4 linked regions of the Anolis sagrei genome follow. The protein of the gene in region 2 binds, or shares a complex with, the protein of the main gene of each other region. Links are inferred from orthologs where the notes say so. Each region holds a gene or a part of one and is shown on either strand. Other genes may lie near its edges.

The links.
Region 1: EIF3F (region 2) and EIF3D share a complex: the UniProt entries of both Homo sapiens proteins name them as parts of the eukaryotic translation initiation factor 3 (eIF-3) complex. The link is inferred for Anolis sagrei from reciprocal best matches to the Homo sapiens genes EIF3F and EIF3D.
Region 3: EIF3F (region 2) and EIF3J share a complex: the UniProt entries of both Homo sapiens proteins name them as parts of the eukaryotic translation initiation factor 3 (eIF-3) complex. The link is inferred for Anolis sagrei from reciprocal best matches to the Homo sapiens genes EIF3F and EIF3J.
Region 4: EIF3F (region 2) and EIF3G share a complex: the UniProt entries of both Homo sapiens proteins name them as parts of the eukaryotic translation initiation factor 3 (eIF-3) complex. The link is inferred for Anolis sagrei from reciprocal best matches to the Homo sapiens genes EIF3F and EIF3G.

The regions. Positions count from the first base shown.
Region 1 is NC_090025.1:166,603,567-166,611,244, forward strand, and holds the start of EIF3D (eukaryotic translation initiation factor 3 subunit D), read left to right. Parts: upstream 1-4,675; 5' UTR 4,676-4,800; intron 4,801-7,523; 5' UTR 7,524-7,534; coding exon 7,535-7,657; intron 7,658-7,678. UniProt on the Homo sapiens protein: mRNA cap-binding component of the eukaryotic translation initiation factor 3 (eIF-3) complex, a complex required for several steps in the initiation of protein synthesis of a specialized repertoire of mRNAs.
Region 2 is NC_090023.1:147,514,796-147,521,623, forward strand, and holds the start of EIF3F (eukaryotic translation initiation factor 3 subunit F), read left to right. Parts: upstream 1-3,811; 5' UTR 3,812-3,830; coding exon 3,831-4,104; intron 4,105-6,828. UniProt on the Homo sapiens protein: Component of the eukaryotic translation initiation factor 3 (eIF-3) complex, which is required for several steps in the initiation of protein synthesis.
Region 3 is NC_090029.1:23,332,156-23,339,398, reverse strand, and holds the start of EIF3J (eukaryotic translation initiation factor 3 subunit J), read right to left. Parts: upstream 3,006-7,243; 5' UTR 2,932-3,005; coding exon 2,907-2,931; intron 2,817-2,906; coding exon 2,692-2,816; intron 1-2,691. UniProt on the Homo sapiens protein: Component of the eukaryotic translation initiation factor 3 (eIF-3) complex, which is required for several steps in the initiation of protein synthesis.
Region 4 is NC_090022.1:172,118,370-172,125,888, reverse strand, and holds the start of EIF3G (eukaryotic translation initiation factor 3 subunit G), read right to left. Parts: upstream 3,021-7,519; 5' UTR 2,878-3,020; coding exon 2,858-2,877; intron 1-2,857. Other genes in the region: DNMT1 (DNA (cytosine-5)-methyltransferase 1), read right to left, coding at 7,463-7,500. UniProt on the Homo sapiens protein: RNA-binding component of the eukaryotic translation initiation factor 3 (eIF-3) complex, which is required for several steps in the initiation of protein synthesis.

The sequences.
Region 1 (7,678 bases), on a different chromosome or scaffold from region 2:
TGGTATAACTGTTACCAATAAATTCAACCACATTCAGTTAGATATACTACTGAATCCATGGTCTCCTCTCCTCTGCTCATCTCTGTAACCAGCACTAAATGCTTTCTAGAGTCTGGTACTTTCACCTAAAATAATCAAGTGAAGTAGTAATCCTTGCCACTATAACCCCTTTTGGCATAGGAATAAAATCACTTCCATTACACCCTTATAATTCCTGAAGAATTTCCTTTGCATCCAAAGATAACTATATACCAGAAGTTATTTTCGATTGCGTGAGGCTCCTATTGTGCTCACTGTGTTTTTGTTTCTCCTTACAACATACACTCTCCACTTTGAAATGGCATATTTCTGAGGTGGCTCTGATAGAAACAGTTGGATGTGATATCCTAATTTTTGGTTTGTCTAATGTAGTTTTAAAATACATATTTTTCCTTGAATACCTGTATTTACTTGAGTCTAATGTGCCATCGAATCTAATGCACACCTCAATTTTGAAAACCGTGAAACCAAAAAAGTATTTACTAGCAAATACAATGTGCAGCAGCAAAAGTTGCACTCTTTGCAATGTGCCTTTTACAGTTGTTACCTGCTTAGAATTCCTTCGTAAAAACCATTGTGTTAAAACATCAAGGCTTTCAACAATGGAAAAGAAACCTTGGTGTTCATGTATGGTGCAGAATGAATCCACTTTCACTGCCTTGGTTCAATGCTATGGGGTTATGGGGGCTGTAGTTTTACAAGGCCTTGAGCCTTCTCTGCCAAAAGAGTGCAGATGCCTCATCAAACTAAAAATCCCAGGACTGCATAGCATTGAGCTATGACAATGAAATTACAGATGACACCCCGCAAATAGAAGCTCCAGTTGCTCCTGAAGCAGCTTACCCTTTTGCTATGGCTCAGCAAGATTATCTTATTACGCGAATCTAATACACATCCTGATTTTGGCAAGGTAGTTTAGCTTTAAAAGGTGATTTGAGTAAATACAGTATGTACAGTTTTCCTGTAACAATGAGGAGGAGGAAGAATAGTTCAATAGCAGATGCCTCCATGGACTGCTGCATAGGACACATATTTGGGACATCATGCTGAGGCTGAAATTTAATTATTTATTTATTACATTTATATGCCGCTTTTCTCCCCCTAAGGGAACTCAAAGTGGTTTCCAACATTATAAAGGTAAAATTCAATGCCAAACATACATGTGAAAACCAAAAGATAATAGCAAGACGATAACATATAACTATAAATTAACCTAACCAAATTAAAAAATAAACATAAAATGACATTTAGACTTAAAGAATAAACAATTAAACATTGATAAAATAATAACATTTATATTAAAACCCACCAATAAACAACACGATTTTAAAAGTTATTAAAATCAAATCCATAATAGAGTCTGTAGCCGTTCCATTGGTCCATTCACTATTCCTTATCCCTTTCTGATGTACGTACAATTATTGTGATGTTTAATTGACTTCTTTCTTCCCATCCAACCCAAAGAGGAAATAAGAAAAATAAAAGACTGCACAATGGACCTTCATTATCCGCTCACCTTGCAGATTGTAGATCAGGATGAAGGGTTCCTACTGATACAAACTGTACAAAGGGAGGCTACATGGTGGGGACATGGACCATGATGTGAAATTGCCCCATTTACATTTAACCTATTTGAGTTTGACAATGATTGAGTGACACCCCAAAAAGGTGGCGCAGAACTGTGAAACTATAAAAGCAAATGTACTGTCACTGCTCAGGCTTCCTGAATTTCGGTAGCATCACTGGAGGTCCAGTTCTCTGTATTTTTTCTACTTCTTCTGATAGTTTTTCAGAATAAAACTTTCTTTCTGAGACTAATAAACACCTTGTTACTTTGCTGGCCGTGTTTCTACACTTGCACCTTTTAAGAGATTGGGGTGACAGCTGTACCCTACAAACTCTATCAGTTCTGAACCCTTTAATAAAATGTAACTATTTGATGGTTTCTATGTAAATTGTATCTTTCTTACTGTGTACTGTATCAGGAAAGCTAAGAGAAGACAATTATGCTGGGGAAAATGGAAGGAAAAAGGAAAAGGGGTTGACCAAGGGTAAGATGGATGGATGGCATCCTTGAAGTGACTGGCTTGACTCTGAAGGAGCTGGGGGAGGTGATGGCGACAGGGAGCTCTGGCGTGGGCTGGTCCATGAGGTCACAAAGAGTCAAAAACGACTGAACGAATGAACAACAAGAACTGTATCAATTTAGTATATGAAGTGTATAATCTGTTTGTTATACATATCAAAATGTAACATTTGCGTAATCTCTTGGGAAAGGGGACATTGGTCAAATCCCTCCCTTGACTGCGGTCCTAGCTGAAATCACTACACAATGGTATAGTAAAATAGTGAGGCAAAAATAGGTTTGCTTTTTGGAATTTTTCTCCCCAGATATTTTTGAGCTGTAGTTGGTGAAGCCCCACTGTATCAAAATCAGAAATTATAGTAAAATCAGAAATTTTAGAATACCAATGTTGTGGTCCCTTTGACTACGAATGGTCACTCCAGTGCAATTAGATGCGGCTGTACAATAATACATTGTGTTTCATTATATTGTTTTTTTGTTTACACTCAGGTTTACACTCAGGCTGAGAGGAGACATAATAGCTATGTATAAATATATGAAGGAAAATTATATGCAGGAGGGAACAAGCTTGTTTTCTGCTGCCTTGGAGACTAGGACGCAGAACAATGGCTTCAAACTACAGGAAAGGAGATTCCACCTGAACATGAGGAAGAACTTCCTGACTGTGAGAGCTGTTCAGCAGTGGAACTCTCTGCCCCGGAGTATAGTGGAGGCTCCTTCTTTGGAGGCGTTTAAACAGAGGCTGTATGGCCATCTGTGGGGGTGCTTTGAATGCGATTTTCCTGCTTTTTGGCAGGGGGTTAGAACTAGATGGCCCACGAGGTCTCTTCCAACTCAATGATTCTAGGTCCTTACTACACTAAACCATTATAGCACTATATTCTGCTTTAACTGCCATGGCAACACCCTATGCAATATTGGGGTTTGTAGTCTAATGAGGTCAGAGATCTTTCTGGTTGAGAAATCTAAATGCTTCTCCGTAAACTACAAATCCCTGGATTCCACAGGTTTTTTGTTGTTGTTGTTTTGTTTTTTTGTCATGTCAGGAGCGACGTGAGAAACTGCAAGTCGCTTCTGGTGTGAGAGAATTGGCCGTCTGCAAGGATGTTGCCCAGGGGACGCCCGGATGATTTGATGTTTTTATCATCCTTGTGAGAGGCTTCTCTCATGTCCCCGTGTGAGGAGCTGGAGCTGATAGAGGGGGCTCATCCGCCTCTCCCCAGATTCGAACCTGCGACCTGTCGGTCTTCAGTCCTGCCGGCACAGGGGTTTAACCCACTGCACCACCGGGGGCTCCATGATTCCACAGTAACCTGCTATTACAGTAAAATAATAGGATTGTAATGGTGCAGTACATAGGGGTGCTCTTACACTGTAGAATTAATGCAGTTTGACACCGCTTCCTGCCATAACTCAGTGCTATGGAATTCTGGGATTTGTAGTTTGGTAAGGCAGTTTGATGAGGCACCAATACTATTTGGCAGAGATAGCTAAAGACCTTGCACAACTACAACTCCCACAAATCCTTAGCCTTGATCTTAAGACAGCTTATTTATTTGTCGTGTCAGAGCAACCAGTCCATTATATTACATTTCTAACAGAACAAAGTAAACAAACAGACAAATACAAAACTTGTGAGTTTGGTAGTTGGTTAAATGTCCTTTGACCAGTATCTGGCCACTTGGAGTGCTTCCGGTGTTGCTGCAAGAAGGTCCTCCATTGTGCATGTGGCTGGGCTCAGGTTGCATTGCAGCAGGTGGTCAGTGGTTTGCTCTTCTCCACACTCACATGTCGAGGATTCCACTTGGTAGCCCCATTTCTGAAGGTCGGCTCTGCATCTCGTGGTGCCAGAACGCAGTGTCTTTAGCGCCTTCCAAGTCTCCCAGTCTTCTGTGTGCCCAGTAGGGAGTCTCTCATTGAGTATCAGCCATTGGTTGAGGTGCTGGGTTTGAGCCTGCTACTTTTGGACTCTCGCTTGCTGAGGTGTTCCAGCTAGTGTCTCTGTAGATCTTAGAAAACTATTTCTAGATTTAAGTCGTTGACGTGCTGGCTGATACCCAAACAGGTATAAGACAGCTAAAGTGGTATAAAACTACATTAACTTTACGGCATAGATGCACCTTTTGATCTATTCCATACACACACTTGCAGTATTTATTGTATTTCCTAGATTGTAAAGCAGCACACTGCCTTTAGTTGCAATAACACAAATTAAAATAGCCCAAAAGGCACCAGGTTGTCTGATCTTGGTAGCTAAGCAGGATCAGCCCTGGTTTGTAATTGGATGGAGGGAGGGGATCACTGACAAAAGGCAGGTGCTGTGGGGGGAAGAAACTAGCAAAACCATCTCTGAGAATCCCTTTCCTTTAAAAAAAAAAAGAGCTATAAAATTCATGGCGTTGTTGCCATAAATCCGCAGGCGATAGGCACTGAATGCAAATAACACAGAGAGAGAGAACCCAGCGTTTTTACGTCCCTGCCAGGCCTTTCCTTTCCTAACTCGGCTTTTGCGACAGTTTTGGCGTCGCGCTGGAGTGACGTGTCATGAGAGCCAGGGCCGCCGCGCCGGAAGCCGGGGAAGCCGTAAAGCGCAATCCTTGTGGAAGGTGGTTTATCTGTCGTCGGTGTTTTCGGGGCCGAATCCGCTGCCATCGGGGCCCACTGGGGTCCTAGAGGTGAGCGAGGCGGCCACGGGGGAGGACCGGGGAGCCTTCGCTCTCCTCCGGCGCCAGTATTTTTTCCCTCCGAGTCTTGGATTGTAGTCTTGCCGGGCCTCGAGGGAAGGGCGGCGGCTGCTGAATGGATTCGGCGGAGGGGGAAGGCCCATTTCAGCCCTGTTCCAGGCTCAACAGCAGGTATGGGCCAACTTGGGCCATCCAAGTGTTTTGGACTGCAACTCCCACCATTCCTAACAGTCTCAGGCCCCTTCCTCCCCTGAGGAAGCAAAAGGAAGGGGCCTGAGGCTGTTAGGAATGGTGGGAGTTGCAGTCCAAAACACTTGGATGGCCCAAGTTGGCCCATACCTGCTCTAGATACTCCCTTGGTCATTAAGGGTCATGTCACACTACACTATTATAGCACTACTATTCCACTTTTAACTGCCATGGCAACAGTCCTTGGCATTCTGGAGGTATAGTTTAGTGAGTCTCAAGAGCTGAGAACTATCCATGCGCCTCCCTAAACTGCAAATCCCAGGACTTTTTAGGATATCGCCATGGAATAATACCTGTGACGATGAATGTGTTGCCAAAAGCATAGTACAAAGTAGACATATTTGTATTGTGTTGGTATAATGTTTTATTTTGTACTGCTCTTTGTAAGAGCTTAGGCTCTTTAGAAAGTAGCATATTCTTAATTCTTTTTAAAAAGTAAAGGTTTTACCCTGACATTAAGTCCAGTCATATCCAACTCTGGGGGTTGGTGCTCATCTCCATTTCTAAGCTGAAGAGCCGGCGTTGTCCGTAGACACCTCCAGCATGACCGCATGGAGCAACATTACCTTCCCGACGGAGTGGTACCTATTGATCTACTCACATTTGCATGTTTTCAAACTGCTAGGTTGGCAGAAGCTGGGGCTGACAGTTGAAGCTCATGTCACTCCCCGGATTAGAACCTGCCACCTTTCGGTCAACATGTTTAGCAACTCAGTGGTTTAACCCACTGTGCCTCCGGGGGCACCCGGGTTTTTATTAAGTTATGTCCAAATATATTCTTAATAATCTTATTATATTAACTAGCACAATATTAGTATTATATTGTACTATACAGCTATACTGCAGTGTGATGGAGCCCTAGGTCTCTTTATCACATGCTCAAAAGGAATGAACACGTCATCACACTCATTTTGCAAAATGCTAGAAATGACAAAGAGAAATTAGGCATTTTTAGTATGTAATAGTATTGATCTATAAAACACATTTCTCATTCACACTGTCATTAAACAGGATAATAGTTATGCGGTGTTTAATCATATGTGGGATAGTTTGCATTATAGAATTATTTCAGAAACGGCATTGATTATTTGCCGTGTATATGTATATTGTGATCTGCTCTGAGTCCCCTTCGGGGTGAGGAGGGCGGAATATAAATACTGTAAATAAATAAATAAATGTATCTACGACATTTATATTCCGCCCTTCTCACCACAAAGGGACTCAGAGCAACTTATAAGTTATATGTACATACAATATATTGTATTATTAGCATAGCACAATATTAGTATTATATCTTACTATATTGTACTATACTTCTATGCTGCAATATTATTAGTAATTTTACATGTAATATATAATTATTGTTATTATATTGTATTATTAGTATTATATTGTATTACAGTATTATGATCAATATTATACGTACATACAATATATTATTAGCATACTATAATATAGAAGGACTTTTCTGTATGCCTGCTGACTGAAAAACCTTGCACTCCATTCCTCTTGCTTTTCTGCGTAGTTTCATGCAGTTCCAGGGCGACAGTGGCCACAGGAATGTGATTAAAATGATTTTGTATCCAGGACTATAATTGACATCTTAAGAAGATTTTAGTGATGCTTGTTAATAAGAAGGTTGGTTGTTATAGGGTAGCAGGAAAAAAAGATATACAGGACTTTAAGTGCTGACTCTGTGGTATTCAGTGCAGCTGAATGACTTGAAATTTTTCCTCAAAAAACACTTTTACCTAATTCTACATTCTCAATTCATGTGTCCAAAAATGAACAGTGGATCATGGATTGGATCTCATCAAAGAGCTGTGTTTAATAAACTTGTAGAAATTGAAGGAGGTGGTGTTTTTTAAAGAGTCTCTGAGAATGTAAAATTTTGTGCTGCTTGGTATTGGATTTGTTATTTCTGATACACATTCAGGATGTTGTTTATGCAGTCAGTTGTAAATCCTTCCTTGAAAGTGTAAGGTTGTGCTGATACTTTAAGCACTAACCTACAACCAATAAATAATAAAAATTTAGTATTATTTTTGTTCTTGGCATTGAATGTTTGCCATTTTTGTTATACTTTGGAAACCACCCAGAATCCCTTTAGGTAGAGAGGGCAGGTTATAAATATATTATTATTATTATTTCCTTTATACAAGTTGAGTATTCCTTATTAGGGACCAGAAGTGTTTGAGATTTCTGTTTCATCCACCTTTGGGAATAACTGTCTTTGCTTATATGTACATGATGTGATATCTTGAAGATGGGACCCAAGTCTAAACATGAAATTAATTTATGTTTCATATACACAATTGTGCACATAGTCTGAAGGTATTTTAAAAGATATTTTAGTCTGCTCCATGAAAACACCTTATCAGCTGATCTTAGTATTTCAAAATGCCTTTGTATTTTATAATTGTGAGAACATCATTTTCTACCTTTTCTTTTCTTTTTTTTACTAGAAATATAAAAGATGGCGAGGTTCATGATACCTGTGATCCAAGACAATCCATCAGGATGGGGTCCATGTGCTATCCCTGAGCAGTTCAAAGATATGCCTTATCAGCCCTTCAGCAAAGGAGATCGTCTGGGGAAGGTATGTTCACTTGTAGCTTTT
Region 2 (6,828 bases):
TTCCAAAGATAGTTCTCCCAAGCAAAAAGATGTTCTTAACTGGTTCAATTTGTTCTATTTCCAAAACTTTAAATAAAAGTGCCATTTGTTTGGAGGGACATTATTTTGAAGCCTTTAAATTTTTACTTACTTAATTACTTACTTATTTGTCCATTTCTGTTTCGCTTCCCAGCCAACAAGACTCCTTGAGGTGATGGACAAATGAAAACCAATTAAAACAGAGGTCCCCAAACAATGGCCTGCAGGCCAGTTGCAACCCTCCACGGTCATTTGCCCAGAAGGTTGCCAGTTCGAAGCCCCAGATAGGCATGAGCACCCTACTGTCAGCCCAGTTCACTGTTTACCTAAGCAGTTTGAAAACAGCTTAGTGTTGTACATAGAGAAATTAGGTACCGCTAAAAAGTGGGGTAGGTATTACCATTAAAAGAAAAAGACACTATAAGAAGATCAGAAAATGCCTGGCGACCAAAAGCAAGGGAGGAAGGAAGTCCTAATGGTTCTTCGTCATATAAGATGGAGTGACAGCCCCCCCCCTCCCCCTGCTGGATTTGAGTACAACCTCCAAAGCCCCAAAAAGCCATACGTTGACACAACATACCTCCTTTCTGGTTGTCTCTGTCCTGTCTGTCCAAATGATATTGAATGTTTGCTGTGTATGTGTACTGCTATAAAATGGACTATTCTCCTCTCTCAAGCCCCCCCCCCCTTGTGGCCTCTGCCCAGGTAATAGAACAGTGTTGTTGTTCATTCATTCAGTCGACTCCGACTCTTCGTGACCTCATGGACCAGCCCACGCCAGAGCTCCCTGTCGGCCGTCACCACCCCCAGCTCCTTCAAGGTCAGTCCAGTCACTTCAAGGATGCCATCCATCCATCTTGCCCTTGGTCGGCCCCTCTTCCTTTTGCCTTCCACTTTCCCCAGCATAATTGTCTTCTCTAGGCTTTCCTGTCTCCTCATGATGTGACCAAAGTACTTCAACTTTGTCTGTAGTATCCTTCCCTCCAATGAGCAGCCGGGCTTTATTTCCTGGAGGATGGACTGGTTGGATCTTCTCGCAGTCCAAGGCACTCTCAGAACTTTCCTCCAACACCACAGCTCAAAAGCATCGATCTTCCTTCGCTCAGCCTTCCCTAAGGTCCAGCTCTCACATCCGTAGGTTACTACAGGGAATACCATGACTTTGACTAGGCGGATCTTTGTTGCCAGTGTGATGTCTCTACTCTTTACTATTTTAATAGAACAGTACCAAGTTGGAAATTTAGGCCCCTTCCACATAACTAAATACAATCCCACATTTTGTGCTTTGAACCAGGATATATGGCAGTGTATTGTACAAGTGTACAAGAATGATTGACAACTGGCAAATAGAGGGAGAAAACATGGAGGCAGTGACAGACTTTGTATTTCTAGGTGCAAAGATTACTGTAGACGCAGACTGCAGCCAGGAAATCAGAAGACGTTTACTTCTTGGGAGGAGACCAATGACCAATTTTGATAAAATAGTGAAGAGTAGAGACGTCACACTGGCAACCAAGATCCGCATAGTCAAAGCAATGGTATTCCCCGTAGTAACCTATGGATGTGAGAGCTGGACCATAGGGAAGGCTGAGCTAAGGAAGATAGATGCTTTTGAACTGTGGTGCTGGAGGAAAGTTCTGAGAGTGCCTTGGACTGCCAGAAGATCCAACCAGTCCATACTTATAAATAAATAAAGCCCGACTGTTCATTGGAGGGAAGGAGACAAAGTTGAAGTACTTTGGCAACATCATGAGGAGACAGGAAATCTTAGAGAAGACAATGATGCTGGGGAAAATGGAAGGAAAAAGGAAGAGGGGCCGACCAAGTGCAAGATGGATGGATAGCATCCTTGAAGTGACTGGCTTGACTCTGAAGGAGCTGGGGGAGGTGACGGCCGACAGGGCGCTCTGGCGTGGGCTGGTCCTTGAGGTCACTAAGAGTCAGAAGCGTTTGAACGAATGAACAACAATATGACAGTGTGGACTGATAGCTTTGAGCCCTTCCATATATCCCTTTATCCCAGAATATCAAGGCAGAAAATCCCACAATATCTGCTTTGGAATGGGTTATCTGAATCCACACTGCTATATATTCCAGTTCAAAGCAGATGTGGAATTTTATTCAGTTGTGTGGAAGGGGCCAGAAAATCCCACATTATCTGAGTGTGGACTCAAGATAACCCAGTTCAAAGCAGATACTGCGGGATTTTCTACCTTGATATTCTGGGTTACAGGGCTGTGTGGAAGGGCCCTGGGTTATCTGTGTCCAACTGCAAATGGAAGTTCCAATTATTTCCGGTTAAATATACAATTGTAATCAGTTAAAATATCTGGAGCCCTCAGTGGCGCAATGGGTTAAACCCCTGTGCCGGCAGGACTGAAGACCGACAGGTCGCAAGTTCAAATCCAGGGAGAGCGCGGATGAGCTCCCTCTAACAGCTCCAGCTCCTCATGCGGGGACATGAGAGAAGCCTCCCACAAGGATGGTAAAACATCAAAACATCTAGCCATCCCCTGGGCAACGTCCTTGCAGATGGCCAGTTCTCTCACACCAGAAACAATTTGAAGTTTCTCAAGTTGCTCCTAACATGACAAAAAAAAGTTAAAACAGCTGTGTTTTTACTAGAACTTCTATGGGATCTTGTGATTTCTAGTTCACTGAGACACCGAAACAGAGTTAGGGACTTTCCACACAGCCATATAACCCAAAATAGCTGCTTTGGAACTGCCATATCAGTTCATATCAGCCAGCAGCCCCTGGGTCTTAAAGGGAAAGATCAAAGAGTCCCTGGTGGGTGTGCAAAGTGCAGTATAGACTCATGTATAAGCCAGGCATGGGCAAACCTTGGCCCTCCAGGTGTTTTGGACTTCAACTCCCACATTTCCTAACAACCATGCCTGGCATAAGCCAACCTCATACATATGTTGGGGGTCAGGATCATGTATTTTCATTTGACCCATGGAAAAGTCAAGGAAAAGAGGGAGGGAGACGGTTAAGTCACCAATTGATGGAGGAACATACTATATGCCTGACCTCATCTACCTGGGGACAGGTGTTGGAGCAGAAATTATGCACTTTCATATGATAGGTTCTGGATAACAAGATAGGGTCTGGAGAACAAGCCCTATGAGGAGCGGCTTAAAGAGCTGGGCATGCTTAGCCCGAAGAAGAGAAGACTGAGAGGAGACATGATTGCCATGTATAAATATGTGAGGGGAAGTTATAGGAAGGAGGGAGCAAGCTTGTTTTCTGCTTCCCTGGAGGCTAGGACACAATGGAGCAATGGCTTCAAACTACAAGAAAGGAGATTCCATCTGAACATCAGGGATAACTTCCTGACTGTGAGAGCTGTTCAGAAGTGGAACTCTCTGCCCTGGAGTGCGGTAGAAGCTCCTTCTATGGAAGCTTTTAAGCAGAGGCTGGATGGCCATCTGTCGGGGGTGCTTTGAATGCAATTTTCCTTCTTCTTGGCAAAATGGGGTTGGACTGGATGGCCCACGAGGTCTCTTCCAACTCTAGGATTCTATATATTCCAATCCAAAGCAGATCTTGTGGGATTTTATTCAGCTGTGCCGAAGGAGCCAAGAAAACCGAAGCTACGAGCCAAACTAGAACTTCAACATCACCCTATGTTTTTCGAGCTGCGCGTGAAGAAGCCAGAAGTTTGATGTCACTCGGCTTCCGGTCTCTAGGACCAATGGAACGCTTCGGGAAAGCTAAGCCGATTTCCATAGGAGAGCGGTGTCACGTGACGGCCGCGCCGAGCCAATCAGAACCGGCGGAGAGGCGCGCGTGGCCCTTTCGCTGACAAGATGGCGGCGGTGGAGGCTGCTCCGGCTCTTCAGGGCGCTGCTACGCCTTCGCCCGCGGCTCCGGCGGCCGCTTCCCCGACCCCTTTGCCGGCGGCAGTGGCTGCCCCTCCGCCTGCAGCGCCTCCCACCCCAGCCCCCACTCCCCCGGCCCCGCTGGCTGCGCCCTTCCCCGGCGGGCGGGCGGTCCGGCTTCACCCGGTGGTGTTGGCCTCCATCGTGGACAGCTACGAGCGGCGCAACGAGGGCGCCGGGCGGGTCATCGGCACCCTCCTCGGTAAGGAGCGCGTGGGGATGTGTCGGAAGCACTGCCAGCGCCAGTTAGGCCGGGGAAAGGGCTCCAGGCAAGCAATTCTTCCAGGCCCAATTCATGTATACAGGCAGCCCCCGGGTTACAAACATCCGCCTTCCAAAGGACTCCTAGTTAAGAACGGGGGTGAGACAACAGGATGTGAGAGAAATCCACCCCTTGGAAGGGACATTATTATTTATTATTATTTATAGTATTTATAATCCGGGGACTCAGGGCAGAGTACTATGCACATATACATGGCAAACATTTGATGCCATTTAGACATACAACATCTATAGACAGACACAGAGGCAATTTAACATTCCAACTTTTCCGGCTTCATTAAGGCAGGCTTGGTTCTGGTCACAGGGGAAGCTGCTGTTTCACTGTCCACTTGTGACAAAGGGTCCTTTGGAGAACCCCCCCAGTGGTGCAGTGGGTTAAACCCCTGTGCCGGCAGGACTGAAGACTGACAGGTCGCAGGTTCAAATCCGGGGAGAGGCGGACGAGCTCCCTCTATCAACTCCAGCTCCTCATGCGGGGATGTGAGGGAAGTCTCCCACAAGGATGATAAAAACATCAAATCATCCAGGCGTCCCCTGGGCAACGTCCTTGCAGAGGGCCAATTCTCTCAAACCAGAAGTGACTTGCAGTTTCTCAAGTCACTCCTGACACGACAAAAAAAAGGGTCCTTTGATGTAGTACTTCCTCATTCTTCTGCATGTTGCTGGAAGGTTTTATGGCATCGTAAATTAGTTAAATTCGCCTCCCCACATTAAGCGGTACCTAAATTTCCTACTTGACAGATGCAACTGTCTTTTGAGCTGCATAGGCCAACAGCATGCTAACAGTCAGTACCTTACCCGGGCTGGCTTTGAACTCATAATGTTCCACTTGAACATTAAGAACTTCCCGAGTGTGAGAGCCATTCAGCAGTGGAGCTCTCTGCCCCAGAGTGTGGCGGAGGCTCCTTCTTTGGAAGCTTTTAAACAGAGGCTAGATGGCCATCTGTTGGGGGTGCTTTGAATGCAATTTTCCTGCTGCTTGGCAGGGGGTTGGACTGGCTGGCCCAACTCTATGATTCTATGATTCTATCTCAGTAGTGATTTAATGCAGCTGGTTACTAACTAGCTGCGTCACAGCCCGATCCTCATGGGGACATTCACTCTCTCTCACGCCATGAATGCTTTATCATGAATCCTTGTTTTCACAACAAGCCAAATCTTTCAAAATCCAATTATTACAGGGAAAGTAATAACAATAATTCTCTATTTCTAGATCACCCTCTCTCCCCATGGGGACTCAGGGCAGTTTACATACATGTAAAAGGCATACATTCAATGCCATCATAAAAATCACACAACACTAAAAATGCAAAATAAACAGTAAAATACTTATTGAGGTTAAAAGTGAGGTTAAATCTCAATAGGGGCACAGACAACAAAACAAACAACTACAGGGGTGTTCACTTCCTTGTGCTATCCAAACTCATATATGGGTTCCTGGCGATGCCCAGGATATTTGAAATAAAAACAAAACATTTGTTTGGTTTTGAATGTTAGGTAATATCATTGAGGTAATTTGTAACACTATTTATTAGGGAAAGTGTGTTTTTTATTCATGTTCCCATTAGAAAATGCATAAGGATGTGGGTGAACTACAACTCCCAAAATTGTGGGTCAGTCCTTCCCAAACTCTGCCAGTATTCAAAGTTGCCTGTGTTAGGTATGTGCACCAAGTTTAGTCCAGATCTATCGTTGGCTGGGTTCAGTGCTCTTGGGTGCGGGTGAATTACATCTCCCAGAATTCAAGGTTAATAAGCCCCAAACCCCTTCAGTATGGAGGTCACAGTTCCTCTGGATGTGGGTGAACGACAACTCTCTGAAATCAAGGTCAGTTTTCCCCAGTCCCCTCCAGTATCTTCAGTTGGTCATGGACTGGGGTCTCTTCAACGTTTGGTCCAGGTCCATTATTTGTTGGGGTCACAGTGGTTTGTGGAAGTGGATGATAGTATTGCAACTCCCATCACCCACGGTCCATTCTCCCCCAAACATCATCAGCACATAAAATGGGTCACAGGGGGTCTGCCAAGTTTGCGCCAGGTCCCTCATTCATGGGGGTTGCATTTATCTGCAGAAGTGGCAGCTGAAGTGGGTAAAGGTACTGCAAATCCCATCATCCATGGTCCATCCTCCTCTAAACTACACCAGAACATAAAGTGGGTTGCAGGGGTTCTGTGTGCCAAATTTTGTCCAGGTCCGTCATTTGTGGGTGTTGCAGTGGTCTGTGGAAGTCAGAGCTCCGGCCAGAAAAATACATTGCCACCCACATGCAAACAAAGAAGTGGAGTTACATTTTTAAAATGTACCTGTTCCGGCCTACAAACAAATTCAACTTAAGAACAAACCTGCAGAACTCTCCTTGTATCTATATATTTTTATTTGTATACATAATAAAAGTGAAACTGTTTGTACCCATATTTCCTCAAATGTAATGCTCCATCAAATTTAATGTGCACCTCTGTTTTCAAAATCCTGAAACCAAAAAAAATAAATATTTGTTCCCTCATGTAATGTACAGCCACAAAAAAGTGTGCTCTTTGCCATTTGGATAACAAAGGTGTGCATTACTGTTGCTTCCTTATTAGAATTCCTTAATTATAAACAATTGTGTTAGAACACTGAAGCGTCTAGCAATGGAAAGGAAAAC
Region 3 (7,243 bases), on a different chromosome or scaffold from region 2:
AAAATGACCACAAAACTTGGCATGATGCTAAATGACCTTTGACAAGAAGCTGGCCACTGGTGTCGCTGTGAGAGGGTGCATATGGTAGGACTCAGACTGCATTGTAGCAAGTGGTTGGGAGGCCCTGGTGATGTCAGCTCCAGCTTCCGCTTTTTTTTTTTTCATGAGAAGGAACATGGGTTTTTGTTTTTTTTTTGCCGTGTCAGGAGCAACTTGAGAAACTGCAAGTCGTTTCTGGTGTGAAAGAATTGGTTGTCTGCAAGGACGTTGCCCAGGGGACGCCAGGATGTTTTGATGTTTTACCATCCTTGTGGGAGGCTTCTCCCATGTCACGAGACAGGGCCTTCTCTGTGGCGGCCCCCCGATTTTGGAATGCCCTTCCAAAAGATCTTCGCCAGGCCCCTACTTTAGCAGCTTTCAGAAAGAACCTAAAAACTTGGCTGTTCCGATGTGCCTTCTCAGATTAGGAATCCCCACCCAAGTCCTAGAAGCACTTTAGCACAATTAACATTAATGCACACCGTACTATTTTATTCCCATGCTCCTCCTACCACTCTAGCACTTTTAACCCTGTACCCCATTGCGCTGGCCGGCCCAGTTTTAAAGTGTCATGATGTATTGTTATTGTCGTTATTGCTTGCTTAACTTATTGATTTGCTATGTTTTCTACTGTTGTGTTTGTTTTACTGTATTGTGTTTTGAGGCTTCGGCCTGTGTAAGCCGCATTGAGTCCTCCGGGAGATGCTAGCGGGGTACAAATAAAGTTAATAAATAAATAAATAATAAATAAATGTCCCCCCACGGGGAGCTGAAGCTGACAGAGTGAGCTCATCCACGTTGACTGAAAGGTAGGCAGTTCGAATATGGGGAGTGGGGTGAGCTCCCGTCTGTCGGCTCTAGCTTCCCATGCGGAGACATGAGAGATGCCTCCCACAAGGATGGTAAAACATCCGGCTGTCCCCTGGGCAATGTTCTTGCAGGCGGCCAAATTCTCTCTCACACACCAGAAGCGACTTACAGTTCCTCAAGTCGTTCCTGACATGAGAAATTTTTTTAACTGGACGAATTACCACCAAATTTGGCCACAAGACACCTACTAACCCAAGGAGTAACCATCACTCAAAAATTAATTTTGTCATTTGGGAGTAGTAGTTGCTGGGATTTACAGTTCACCTACAATCAAAAAGATTTCTGAATTCCACCAATAATGGAACTGAACTAAACTTGGCACACAGGACTCCCATGACCAACAGAAAACACTGGAAGGGATTGATGGGCATTGACCTTGAGTTTGGGAGTTGTAGTTCACCTACATCCAGAGACCACTGTGGACCCAAAAAATGATGGACCTGGACCAAACTTGGCATGAACACTCCATATGGCCAAATATGAACACAGATGGGGTTTCGGGGGAAATACACCTCGACATTTGGGAGTTGTAGTTACTGGGATTTATAGTTCACCTACAATCAAAGAGCATTCTGAACCCCACCAATGACAGAATTGGGGCAAACTTCCCACACAGAACCCCCATGACCAACAGAAAATACTTAGGGCCATTCAGTCCAACTCCCTTCACTAGGGCAAAACGTAATCAAAGTCCTCCTGACAAAGAGCCATCCAGCCATAGATTTAGATAGATAGATATGATTCACACAAACACAGATATAGTATCATAGGTTTGAAAGGGACCCCCAAAGAAGGACAATTATAAGTTGCATGTTCCAGAGTAGGCAAACCAGACAATCTACCTGCGTGACCGCATATCCATCTACGAACCCACACGTTCACTTCGGTCATCTGGAGAGGCCCTGCTCGTGATCCCACCGGCGTCGCAAGCGCGCTTGGTGGGGACGCGGGACAGGGCCTTTTCCGTGGTGGCCCCCTGACTCTGGAACACCCACCCCAAAGACCTTAGACAGGCCCCTTCATTGGCTGTCTTCAGAAAGAACTTGAAGACCTGGCTTTTCCGATGCGCCTTCCCAGATTAGGAAATCTCCAATACCAAGTCCCAAGAGCACTTTATCAGAACCAATGATTGCTGCACATCGCACATCGCACTTGCCCTGGAAGCCCTATATACACCTCCTGTCACATCAGCACTTTTAATCTTTGTACCCATTCTCTGGACCGGCCCAGTTTTATCGTGTTTTAGTGTATTGTGCCTGCTGATTTGGTGTTTTTTTTTTTTTTGCTTTATTCTGTTTTTAATTTGTTTTATTTGCTTAGATTGTATTGTTGTGTTGTGTGTTCTGTAAGCCGCATCGAATCCTTCGGGAGATGCTAGCGGGGTACAAATAAAGTTTAATAATAATAATTAAATAATAATAATCTCCATGTCAACACTGACAAAGAAACAGCAAGAAATATTGTTTACCCAGAAACATAAAGAAATTACATATATTAGAAACCAACACTTTCTCATTACTGTATTTTCCAGATCACCAGACTGGGCCACAGCAACGCCTGGCAAGGGGACGGCTAGTAATTTATATAATAAGTGGTTTGCTCTTTACTTCAGCGGCTGAGGAAGGGATAGGAATGGGCCTGAGGGTGTGAGGAAGTATGGGAGTTGGAGTCCAAAACAGCTGGAGGGAGGGCCCAAGTTGGCCCAGGTCTGCTACAGAGCCCTCCTTGTTCGTAACTTGGTGAAAAAAGGAGGGAAGAGAAGCAGAGCGAGGCCTTTCCCACCTTGACATCCTCGTCCTCGTCCTCCCCGGCCCACCGGTCTCCCGCCGCCGCCACGGAGGGCGTGGGCAGCCGGGCCTGGTGCCGCCCGTCCTCCTCCGCCTCCGCCGCCGTCGTCTCGAAGGAGTCTGCGCCGGAGAAGGGAGAGGGTGTCAGCAGGGGGCGAAAAAGAGGCCCTTCCTTCCCACCTCCAGGCCTGCCTTCCCGGCCACACTCACCCCAGGAATCCGCCACCGCCGCCATCTTGGTTCTGCCTCAGGCCCGTCAGGCACTCGCGGCCAAGGCCGGAAGAGGAAGAGCCAGACGCCCGCGCGGGGGATGCCGGGAGGAAAAGGAATACGCCGAGAGAGGGCGGGGCCTTAACAAACCACGCCCCTTCAAACAAAGCCACGCCCCCTCCAGCCTACCCAGAGCAACAACGAGATTGGGAGCTTTGAGATGGTTGAACAGAAGCTTTCCGAAGCTCTGGGTGCTCTTACTGCCTATTACAGGGAAAACCAACTGATCCCCAACCCATCCAAAACACAGACATCTGCCTTTCATCTCAAGAACAGACAAGCATCCTGAGCTCTGAGGATCACCTGGAAAGGAATCCCACTGGACCATTGCAGCGCACCCAGATACCTGGGAGTCACTCTGGACCGTGCGCTGACCTACAAGAAGCACTACCTGCACTTCAAGCAAAAAGTGGGCACTAGAAACAATATACGAAAGCTGACTGGCACAACCTAGGGATCACAACCAGACACAGTGAAGACATCTCTCCTTGCGCTATGCTACTCTGCTGCTGAGTATGCATGCCCAGTGTGGGACACATCTCACCACACTAAAACAGTGGATGTGGCTCTTAATGAGACATGCCGCATTATCACGGGGTGTCTGCGCCCCACACCACTGGAGAAATTACACTGCTTAGCCGGTATCACACTACCTGACATCCGCTGGGGAGTAGCAGCCAATAGTGAAAGGACCAAGGCAGAGACGTCTCCAGCTCATCCACTGTTTGGGTATCAACCAGCACGTCAATGACTTAAATCAAGAAATAGTTTTCTAAGATCTACAGAGACACTCGCTGGAACACCTCAGCAAGCCAGAGTCCAAAAGTGGCAGGCTCAAACCCAGAACCTCAACCAGTGGCTGATACCAAATGAGAGACTCCCTCCTGAGAACACAGAAGACTGGGCAACTTGGAAGGCACTGAACAGACTGCGCTCTGGCACCACAAGATGCAGAGCCAACCACAAGAAATGGGCCCACAAAGTGGAGTCCACGACATGCGAGTGTGGAGAAGAGCAAACCACTGACCACCTGCTGCAATACACCCTAAGCCCTGCCACATGTACAATGGAGGACCTTCTTGCGGCAACACCAGAAGCACTCCAAGTGGCCAGATACTGGTCAAAGGACATTTAATCAACTACCAAACTCGCAAATTTTGTATTTTGTCTGTTTGTTTGTTTTGTTCTGTTAGAAATGTAATACAATTGTCTGGTTGCCCCTGACACGATAAATAAAAAAAATAACATTGACAATGAAATGCAACACTGCCTGAGCTCTGCGAGTGCAGCATTTTTGCAAATGAAGCAGAGAGTGTTTGAGGACCGGGACATCCGTAGGGATACCAAGATGCTTGTTTATAAAGCTATTGTCCTCCCAACCCAGCTATATGCCTGCGAGACGTGGATTGTCTACAGGCGTCACATGCAGCTCCTGGAACGATTCCATCAGCGCTGCCTCCGGAAAATCCTGCAAATCTCTTGGGAAGACAAGTGGACAATGTCAGCGTGCTAGAAGAAGCAAAGGCCACTAGTATTGCCGAAGGCTTTCATGGCCGGAATCACTGGGTTGTTGTAGGTTTTTATTGGGCTATATGGACATGTTCTAGAAGCATTCTCTCCTGACGTTTCACCTGCATCTGTGGCAAGCATCCTTACTACCTTTGAGGATGCTTGCCATAGATGCAGGCAAAATATCAGGAGAGAAGGCCTCTAGAACATGGCCATATAGCTCAAAAAACCTACAACAACCCAAAGACCACCAGCATTGAAGCCATGGTCCTCCGCCATCCACTCTGCTGGACCCGTCAAGTTGTTTGGATGCCCGACCACCGTCTCCCAAAGCTGTTTCTCTTCTCCGAACTCAAGAATGTTGGTGGACAGGAAAAGAGATGTATAAATGGGCTCTAATCTAACCTTACAAACTCTGGCATAGACACTGAAAACCGGGAAGCCCTGGCCCTTGAGCGCTCCAGCTGGAGGTCAGCTGTGACCAGCAGTGCTGTAGAATTTGAAGAGGCATGAATGGAGGGCAAAAGAGAGAAATGTGCCAAGAGGAAGGCGCGTCAAGCAAACCCCAACTGGGATCGCCTTCCACCTGGAAACCAATGCCCTCGCTGTGGGAGACGATGCAGATCAAGAATAGGGCTCCATAGTCACCCTGGAGGATTATCCTGCTCGGATGACGAGGGATCGCCTAAGTAAGTAAGTAAGTAAGTTAGCCTCAGCAGTAGACTGAAAGCAAAAACCGAGGACACAGCAGTATCTGTTATAGAACTCCAATATGCCGATGATAATATGGTCTGTGCTCACTGAGAAGAAGACCATACAAGTTGGAAATGACAATCTTCTTCAGGCCTTCTCTAGTAAAGGGTTGCTGTGAGTTTTCCGGGCTGTCTGGCAATGTTCCAGAATCATTTTTTCCTGACGTTTCGTCTACATCTATATCAGGCATCTTCAAAGGTGGTGAAGTCTGTTGGAAACTAGACAAGTGAGGTTTATCTATCTGCATAATGTCCAGTGTGGGAGAAAGAACTATCAATGGCACTAATTATTATTGTTAATTTTTATTTAATATTATTTAGTATGATTATTTTATTACTATTTTGACTATTATTATAGTCAAAATAAAGAGCAAACCACAAACAGGCGGGCCCCAAGTTACAAAGTAAAGAGCAAACCACAAACCACTTATTATATATTTTTTTATTATTATTTACTTCACCTGTATACCGTTTTTCTCACCCCAAGAGGAGACTTAAACATATTTATGGAAAAATATTATTATTATTTAGTATGATTCACTATGTAACATGATTTGTATTCCTGGGTTATCAATGCCATTATTATTATTTATTTATTTGGTATTGTTATTATTATTTAATATGATTTACTATGTAACATAAACACATTTTTTCCCTGGGTTGTCAAAGTCATTACAAAGTCACTGTGGGAGAAGATGCGGGTCAAAAACAGGGCTCCAAAGCCACCTACAAATCCACAAGGAAACCCATAATGGAAAACCATCTTACTCGTCCAATGAGGGATCGCCTAAGTAAGTAAGTAAGCAAAGTCATTAATAATTATTACTAATTATTTATTTAGTATTTATTATTATTTAATATGATTAATTTATTATGATTATTATTGTGGCTATTATTATTTTGTATGATTCAATATGTAACACAATTTTTGTTCCTGAGTTATCAATATCATTAATTAATATTATTAATTATTTAGTATTTATTATTTTTATGATTATTATTAATTAGTGTGATTATTTTATTATTGTGACTATTGTTATTATTTGGCATGATTCACTAGGTGCAACACGATTTTTGTTCCTGGGTTATCAATGTTATTGATTTATTATTATTATATTTTTATTTTTATTTTACTGACACAAAGCCACAGTATGTCACAGTAAACAAGATCTATATGCTGGATTTTGTATCAAAAAATCACAAGTCGAACACTTTCCAAGCGTCTAGGACTGTGTGATGTATTTCCGAATTAGGCGCGCAGATCCAAGTAAGGTGGTGTTTTGCAGTTGACAGATGATTTTGTCAATGTTTATTGTTTCCAAAAGCTGGCTGAGATCTTTTTGCACGGCACCCAGTGTGCCGATCACCACTGGGACCCCCTGGACTGGTTTATGCCAGAGCTTTTGCAATATTTATTATTATTATTATTATTATTAAATATTATTAATATTTGATATGATTCACTATGTAACACAAACATGGTTTTTATTCCTGGGTTATCAATGTATTAATTTATTATTGCTATTTATTATTATTTAGTATGATTATGATTTACTATGAATATTATTATTTAGTATGGTTCACTGTGTAACGTGATTTTTGTTCCTGGATTATGTCATCTCCTAATTGGTTCTATCATTAAAAGCATGAGAAAAGTTTATTAAACTGTGAAAAATTTGTTTTTGTGGGAAGGCACCCTGCAGCAGCACATTTGGGTCTAATTTCCCCATAAATATCTCAACCAATTCAGCCTAGTTTGTGGCAGCCACAAAAACAAAGTTCTGGTGTAGAACAACTACTTTCAAAGTAAAGACTGCACAATTAATCAGGGAGTAATGCATTCAAACCAGAAACAAAAAAAAAATATTAAAATTTTGTCACATAGTGTTATTAGTGGGCTTAGCATACACTTAGCAAACATGCCAGCCTATGACTGAAACAACCAACAGTGCATGCTTTGCAATCACAAGATAGGAGCATTGAGCAGATGGAAAGTGAAGGCAGAGATCAATGCCT
Region 4 (7,519 bases), on a different chromosome or scaffold from region 2:
TGCTGGGAGTTCTGGGAGTTGAAGTCTAAAATGCCTGGAGGCTAAAAGTTGGGAACCACTGGCTTACAAGGAAAAGTCCCTTGAGAGCTAGATGTGTTTATGACTGGGGGATATATTCTCAACATTTTCAGGTAACACTCCTGTTACTATTCCATTAAAGCACTGGTTCTTAACCTGTGGGTGACGGACCACCAGTAGGCTGCAAGGACGAAAATCTGGTCCACAAATCTCATTTTTTATTTATTTTACTTCTACTCCTTTCAGACTGCCTGCCACTCCTTTCCTGTTGCTGACCATGGCATGTGTTCTGTATCAGAAAGCAGAGCTGATGTGGTCTACCCAATGCAATTTTCTGAATCAGCACCACAAACCAAATCTAAAGTTGACCAAAAACTGATTCCTAACCCTTTTGGTAATAATGCTGGAGAGTGGTCCCTGGTCAAAAAAAAGTTGGGAACCACTGCATTAAACAGATGTGGTCCAATAATACCAGATGCGGAAATTGCTCCCCATACATTAATGAAATCATGTATTTCCATGTTACCCAGACCTTTTCAACACATGTTCAGTGTCTCTCACTTTCAAAGTGACTCCATGTCTAATGGAGATTCAGTAAAGATGCAGTCTACATAATTAATACCCATCTCCAAGTTTTAGTATCTAACTATATAATGTTAGAACAAGTGAGCAAATATAGACCTCCAGGTAAGTTGCACAAAGATATCTTTGGCCTCAAAGGCCCATCAGACCTACCCAGCAAAGCCACTAATGATGGATAATGGGAATAGCTGACCAAAAACATTTGGAGAGCCATAGTTGCACATCCAATATTAAGTAAGGGAGACAATCAGTGTGGTGCAGTGGTTTCAGTGCTAGACTTGAAGTGCAACTACACTGTAGAGCAGTGATCCTCAACCTGTGGGTCCCCAGGTGTTTTGGCCTACAATTCTCAGAAATTTAGGATTTCTGGGTGTTGAAGGCTAAAACATCTGGGGACCTCAAGTTGAGAACCACTGCGAGATAGAAATAAAGGTTATTATTATGATTTTACAATTATTATTACTAGATTTTAGTATATTGTATGAGCCCCCAGTGGCGCAGTGGGTTAAACCCCTGTGCCGGCAGGACTGAAGACCGACAGGTCGCAGGTTCGAATCCGGGGAGAGGCGGATGAGCTCCCTCTATCAGCTCCAGCTCCTCATGCGGGGACATGAGAGAAGCCTCCCACAAGGATAAAAACATCAAATCATACAGGCGTCCCCTGGGCAACGTCCTTGCAGACGGCCAATTCTCTCACACCAGAAGCGACTTGCAGTTTCTCAAGTCGCTCCTGATACAACAAAAAAATTATATTGTATTATTATTAATAATATTATTATTATACTGTATTACATGAATACGTGAAGACACATCATACTAGGTAGCAGGGTAAACTCATCAAGAAATATTAATTAAATCATTTCGTTTTAAAGTTGGATTTTAAGTAAAAGATGCTTGCTTGCTTGCATGCTGGTCGCTTCTGTGGCGAGAGAATCAGCCGTCTACGAAGACGTTGCCCAGGGGACGCCCGGATATCTTGCAATCCTGCGAGGAGGCTTCTCTCATGTCCCACAACCAGATACAGTGAAGACATCTGCCCTTATGCTATGCTACTCTGCTGCTGAGTATGCATGCCCAGTGTGGAACACATCTCACCATACTAAAACAGTGGATGTGGCTCTTAATGAGACATGCCGGATTATCTCAGGGTGTCTGCGCTCTACACCACTGGAGAAATTACACTGCTTAGCCGGTATTGCACCACCTGACATCTGCCGGGAAGTAGCAGCCAATAGTGAAAGGACCAAGGCAGAGACATCTCCAGCTCATCCCCTGTTTGGGTATCAGCCAGCACGCCAATGACTTAAATCTAGGCATAGTTTTCTAAGATCTACAGAGACACTCGCTGGAACACCTCAGCAAGCGAGAGTCCAAAAGTGGCAGGCTCAAACCCAGCACCTCAACCAATGGCTGATACCAAATGAGAGACTCCCTCCTGGGCACACAGAAGACTGGGTGACTTGGAAGGCGCTGAACAGACTGCGCTCTGGCACCACGAGATGCAGAGCCAACCTCAAGAAATGGGGCTACAAAGTGGAATCCACGACATGCGAGTGTGGAGAAGAGCAAACCACTGACTACTTGCTGCAATGCAACCTGAGCCCTGCCACATGCACAATGGAGGACCTACTTGCGGCAACACCAGAAGCACTCCAAGTGGCCAGATACTGGTCAAAGGACATTTAACCAACTACGAAACTCACAAGTTGTGTATTTTTCTGTTTATTTGCTTTGTTCGGTTAGAAATGTAACATAATGGACTGGTTGCTCTGACACGACAAAAAAAGTAAAAGATACACAAAGCTATGCCAAGCTTCCCAGAGCAGGCAGCCTCAAACTGGGGCCTTCCAACGCCCAGAAGCCCTTGCCAGCTTCTTCAATGGCCAGGAATTTTAGGAGTTGGAGGTGCAAACAGCTGGAAGGCCGCTGTTTGAGGAGGCCAGGCCTTAGGTTTCTGTCACGTGTCTGCCCAACTCTTGACACTCAGCTGGAGAAGTCCAGAGCTGACCAAATTGAGCTTTTGGTCTATAACCAGCTTTAAGAGTTTGAAAGACATGAAGTTGACTTTGTTTGGGAAAAAATGGCTCATGAGAAGCGGTTGAGGAAAGAATTCGGGACTCTCCGAATCACAAACCCGCCACTGCACGTCTGGACGCGCAAACACGTGTACACGGACCGCCCGCCCGCCGCTTTCCCCTTTCCCCCAAGGCCTCCCTCCCTCCTCCAGGCCTGCTTCCCGCCTTCCCCATTTGCTCACTCGTAGTCGCCCGTCGGCATGGCCGCCCCTGGAAGAAGAGCAAGCAGCAGGAAGGCGAGCTGAAGAGGAAGACTAGGCCTCACGAGAGGCAGGAAGCCGGCCTAAGCGTGACGCAGAGCCTCACGGGAGACGTAGTTTGCGTCACTGACGTGGTGGCCAAACCAAAATGCATGGCGGAGGCCTTTCGGCTCGCCGCGGTGCCTGCTGGGAAGACGCGATAGGGGTCGCTCCACTCCAACTTTTGGGCCTCCAATTCCCAGAAGCCCTCGCCAGCTTGTTCAATGCCCAGGAATGCTGGAAGTTGGAGGCCCAAAAGCTGCAAGGCCGCCTGTATTAGTGAGGTGAATTGCCGCCCCCAGTGGACACTTCAAGAATTGCATCCCTTGATAGAATTCTAGAGTTGGAAGAGACTTCATGGGCCATCCAGTCCAACCCCCTGCCAAGAAGCGGGAATGTTGCATTCAAAGCACCCCTCACAGATGGCCACCCAGCTTCTGTTTAAAAGCCTTCAAAAGGAGCCTCCACCACACTCCGGGGCAGAGAGTTCCACTGCTGAACGGCTCACAGTCAGGAATTATAAGAGTTGGAAGACTTCATGGGCCATCCAGTCCAACCCCCTGCCAAGAAGCGGGAATGTTGCATTCAAAGCACCCCTCACAGATGGCCACCCAGCCTCTGTTTAAAAGCCTCCAAAGAAGGAGCCTCCACCACACTCCGGGGCAGAGAGTTCCACTGCTGAATGGCTCTCACAATCAGGAAGTTCTTCTTCATGTTCAGATGGAATCTCCTTTCTTGTAGTTTGAAACCATTGTTCCGCGTCCTACTGTCAAACCCAGCTGGGGGCCCTTCCACACAGCCCTATATTCCAGAATATCAAGGCAGAAAATCCCACAATATCTGCTTTGAACTGTGTTATCTGAGTCCACGCTCAGAATCTAGTTGCTTTTTTGCATGTCCACCAAAGGTGAGAGAAGGATCCCACTTGTGAGTGCATTTCCAGCATTTGTCTGATGGATTCTTTTAACATTTCGCAAGTTTACTTGGTGTTATGTACCAACGGCACATCATCGTGTACCAATTTTCACGTAGGTCCTGAGAGTCTGTATATTTTATTTTAGAGTTCCATATGTTTTCCCTGAGGAATCTGTACAAGGACCAAGTAGCAACAGTCAGAACTGACCACGGAACAACAGACTGGTTCAAGATTGGGAAAGGCGTACGGCAAGGCTGCATCCTCTCACCCAACCTTTTTAACTTGTATGCAGAACACATCATGCGATGTGCGGGGCTGGATGAATGCAAAGCCGGGGTGAAAATTGCTGGAAGAAACATTAACAACCTCAGATATGCAGATGACACCACTCTGATGGCCGAAAGCGAGGAGGAGCTGAGGAGCCTTCTAATCAAGGTGAAAGAAGAAAGCGCAAAAGCCGGGTTGCAGCTAAACGTCAAAAAAACCAAGATTATGGCAACAAGAATGATTGACAACTGGAAAATAGAGGGAGAAACCGTGGAGGCTGTGACAGACTTTGTATTTCTAGGTGCAAAGATTACTGCAGATGCAGACTGTGGCCAGGAAATCAGAAGACGCTTCCTTCTTGGGAGGAGAGCAATGTCCAGTCTCGATAAAATAGTAAAGAGTAGAGAAATCAGACTGGCAACAAAGATCCGCCTAGTCAAAGCCATGGTATTCCCTGTAGTCACCTACGGATGTGAGAGCTGGACCTTAGGGAAGGCTGAGCGAAGGAAGATCGATGCTTTTGAGCTGTGGTGTTGGAGGAAAGTTCTGAGAGTGCCTTGGACTGCGAGAAGATCCAACCAGTCCATCCTCCAGGAAATAAAGCCTGACTGCTCACTGGAGGGAAAGATACTAGAGACAAAGTTGAAGTACTTTGGCCACATCATGAGGAGACAGGAAAGCCTAGAGAAGACAATTATGCTGGGGAAAGTGGAAGGCAAAAGGAAGAGGGGCCGACCAAGGGCAAGATGGATGGATGGCATCCTTGAAGTGACTGGACTGACCTTGAGGGAGCTGGGGGTGGTAACGGCCGACAGGGAGCTCTGGCGTGGGCTGGTCCATGAGGTCACGAAGAGTCGGAGACGACTGAACGAATGAACAACAACATGTTTTCCCATTCTGTTATTTGGATGTTGTGGCCGATGTTTTGTGCCCACCTCACCATGCACTCTTTTATTTGTTCTCTCTCGGTCGACCAAGTTAAGAGTATTTTGCGGATTTTGGAGATTAGTTTATTGTTCGAAGACAAAACCTTGTCCCATATTTTTTCCCCTTCTTCGAATCCACCTTTCTTGTCTTTGTTATTATTATTTGTCGTGTCAGGAGCGACTTGAGAAACTGCAAGTCGCTTCTGGTGTGAGAGAATTGGCCGTCTGCAAGGACATTGCCCAGAGGGACACCTGGATGATTTTTTGATTTTATCATCCTTGTGGGAGGCTTCTCTCATGGAGCTGATAGAGGGAGCTCATCTGCCTCTCCCCAGATTTGAACCTGCGACCAATCGGTCTTCAGTTCTGCCAGCACAGGGGTTTAAACCACTGCGCCACTGGGGGTTCCCGGTGTTTGTTAAATGCCTCCTTTAATTGAATATGAGATTTGTTACTGAACCCTGTGTCTCTTAAGAGGCCTGTGCAGCCTTCTCCTAGTGTAGCTCCTGCTCCCTCCCTCACTCCGTTCCCTTTCCCTCTCGCCTTCCTTGCCAGACCAATGCAAAAGGGGCTTGCTTGCTTCTTCGCTTCTTCTGTCCCTCCGTCCGTCCATCCCTCTCCCCCCCCCCCCGAGAAGGCTCTAAAGCAGTGCTTCTCAACCTGGGGGTCGGGACCCCTGAGGGGTCGCCAAAGACCATAAGAAAACACAGTATTATCTGATGGTCATGGGGATTCCATGTGGGAAGTTTGAGCCAATTCTATCGTTGGTGGAGTTCAGAATATTCCTTGATTGTAATGAACTATAAATTCCAGCAACTACAACTCCCAAATGTCAAGATCTATTTTCCCCAGACTCCACCAGTGTTCACATTTGGGCATATTGAGTAATCATGCGAAGTTTGGACCAGATCCATCATGGCATGAGTCCACAGTGTCTCTGGATATAGGTGAACTACAACTCCCAAACTCAAGGTCAATGCCCATCAAACCCTTCCAGTGTTTTCTGTTGGTCATGGGAGTCAAGTTTGGTTCAAATCCATCGCTGGTGGAGTTTAGAATGCTCTTTGATTATAAGTAAACTATAAATCCCAGCAACTACAACTCCCAAATTATAAAATCAATCCTCCCCCAACCCCACTAGCATTCACATTTGGGTGCATTGGGTATTTGTGCCCAGTGAATGAAAATGCACCCTGCATATCAGATACTTACATTATGATATATAACATTAGTAAAATGACTGTTATGAAGTAGCAACGAAAACAATATTATGGTTGGGGGTCACCACAACATGAGGGACTGTCTTAAGGGGTCACGGCATTAGGAAGGTTGAGAACCACTGCTCTAAAGGCTGCTTTTCAGAGCAGCTTTGCCAGGTTGTTCTGGCTTCTCAGCTTGGCTCCTGAAGCAGGGACAGCCAGCTGCTTTGCTACTGTGGCTGTTTGTTTCCCCTTCTTGTACAGGAGGGGGCAGGCCTAGGTTTTGCACATGCGTGGTAAGGTATTTTTTATTTTTAAAAGAATTTTAAAGCTATTTTCACTGTTTGGGGATTTTTTTTAATTGTGGTCATACCTTGCGGTATGAGACGTTTGGAGGCCAAAATTGATGTCAGTTGGCCCCATAGTTTGTCTGTGTTTAGCCTACTCAGGACGCACAGAAGCTTTTTTATATATTAAGATTATCATGATTCTTTATGGGTGGCAGATGGCAATTGATAGATGGCCTATGTTCTGTATCTGAAAAACTAGAGCTGATAGGGGAAAACTGGTATCATTTTTGGAATCAGCAGGTCAAATATACCCAGAAACAGAGCTAACATTTGAGGCACCAAAATGTGTGTTGGTCAGTGGAATTGAAGTGGTACTTAGGTCCCAGCACCAACATGAACACAAACCAGAGCCCAGAGATGGGACAGACATCTGAAGGAAGTCAGAAAGGGACCTTGAGATAATTTATAGGAGAGATTTATTTGAAGAAATATTACAACATATAAAAACTACATAAAGTATTAATTTCCACTTGTACAAAGTGGTTGATTAAATTTCAATACAATGTATCATAAAAACATCCTGAACCCCCCCTCCCCCCGACACACATACACACGCACACGCATGAAGTGGCAGGCACTGCACAATTTGATCACTTGGGAATGGTTATCTGGAACATCAAAACAGCGTCAGAATGTCAGCCGAGGAGACAAACACCGCTCACAAATACAGACTCTGAGAAAGAGCAAGACAGAGAGAGAGAACACACAAAAATCCTCCCCCTCCCGTCCCCAAAAACAAAGAGAGACCTCCAACAATTTTCAGCATGTCCAGAAGTATAAGAAAATAACCTGGAAATTAAAAAAGCAGAAGAAAATTCAAAATTATCAGTGCATGTTTGGGTGTTCAGGTGCGGTAACCAAGGTGCAGCAGATGACGAGCAATTTACAAATTAATCGGAAGTGTCCATTTTTTCCCGTTTGATGGTATCTGCGGAAAAATAAGATAC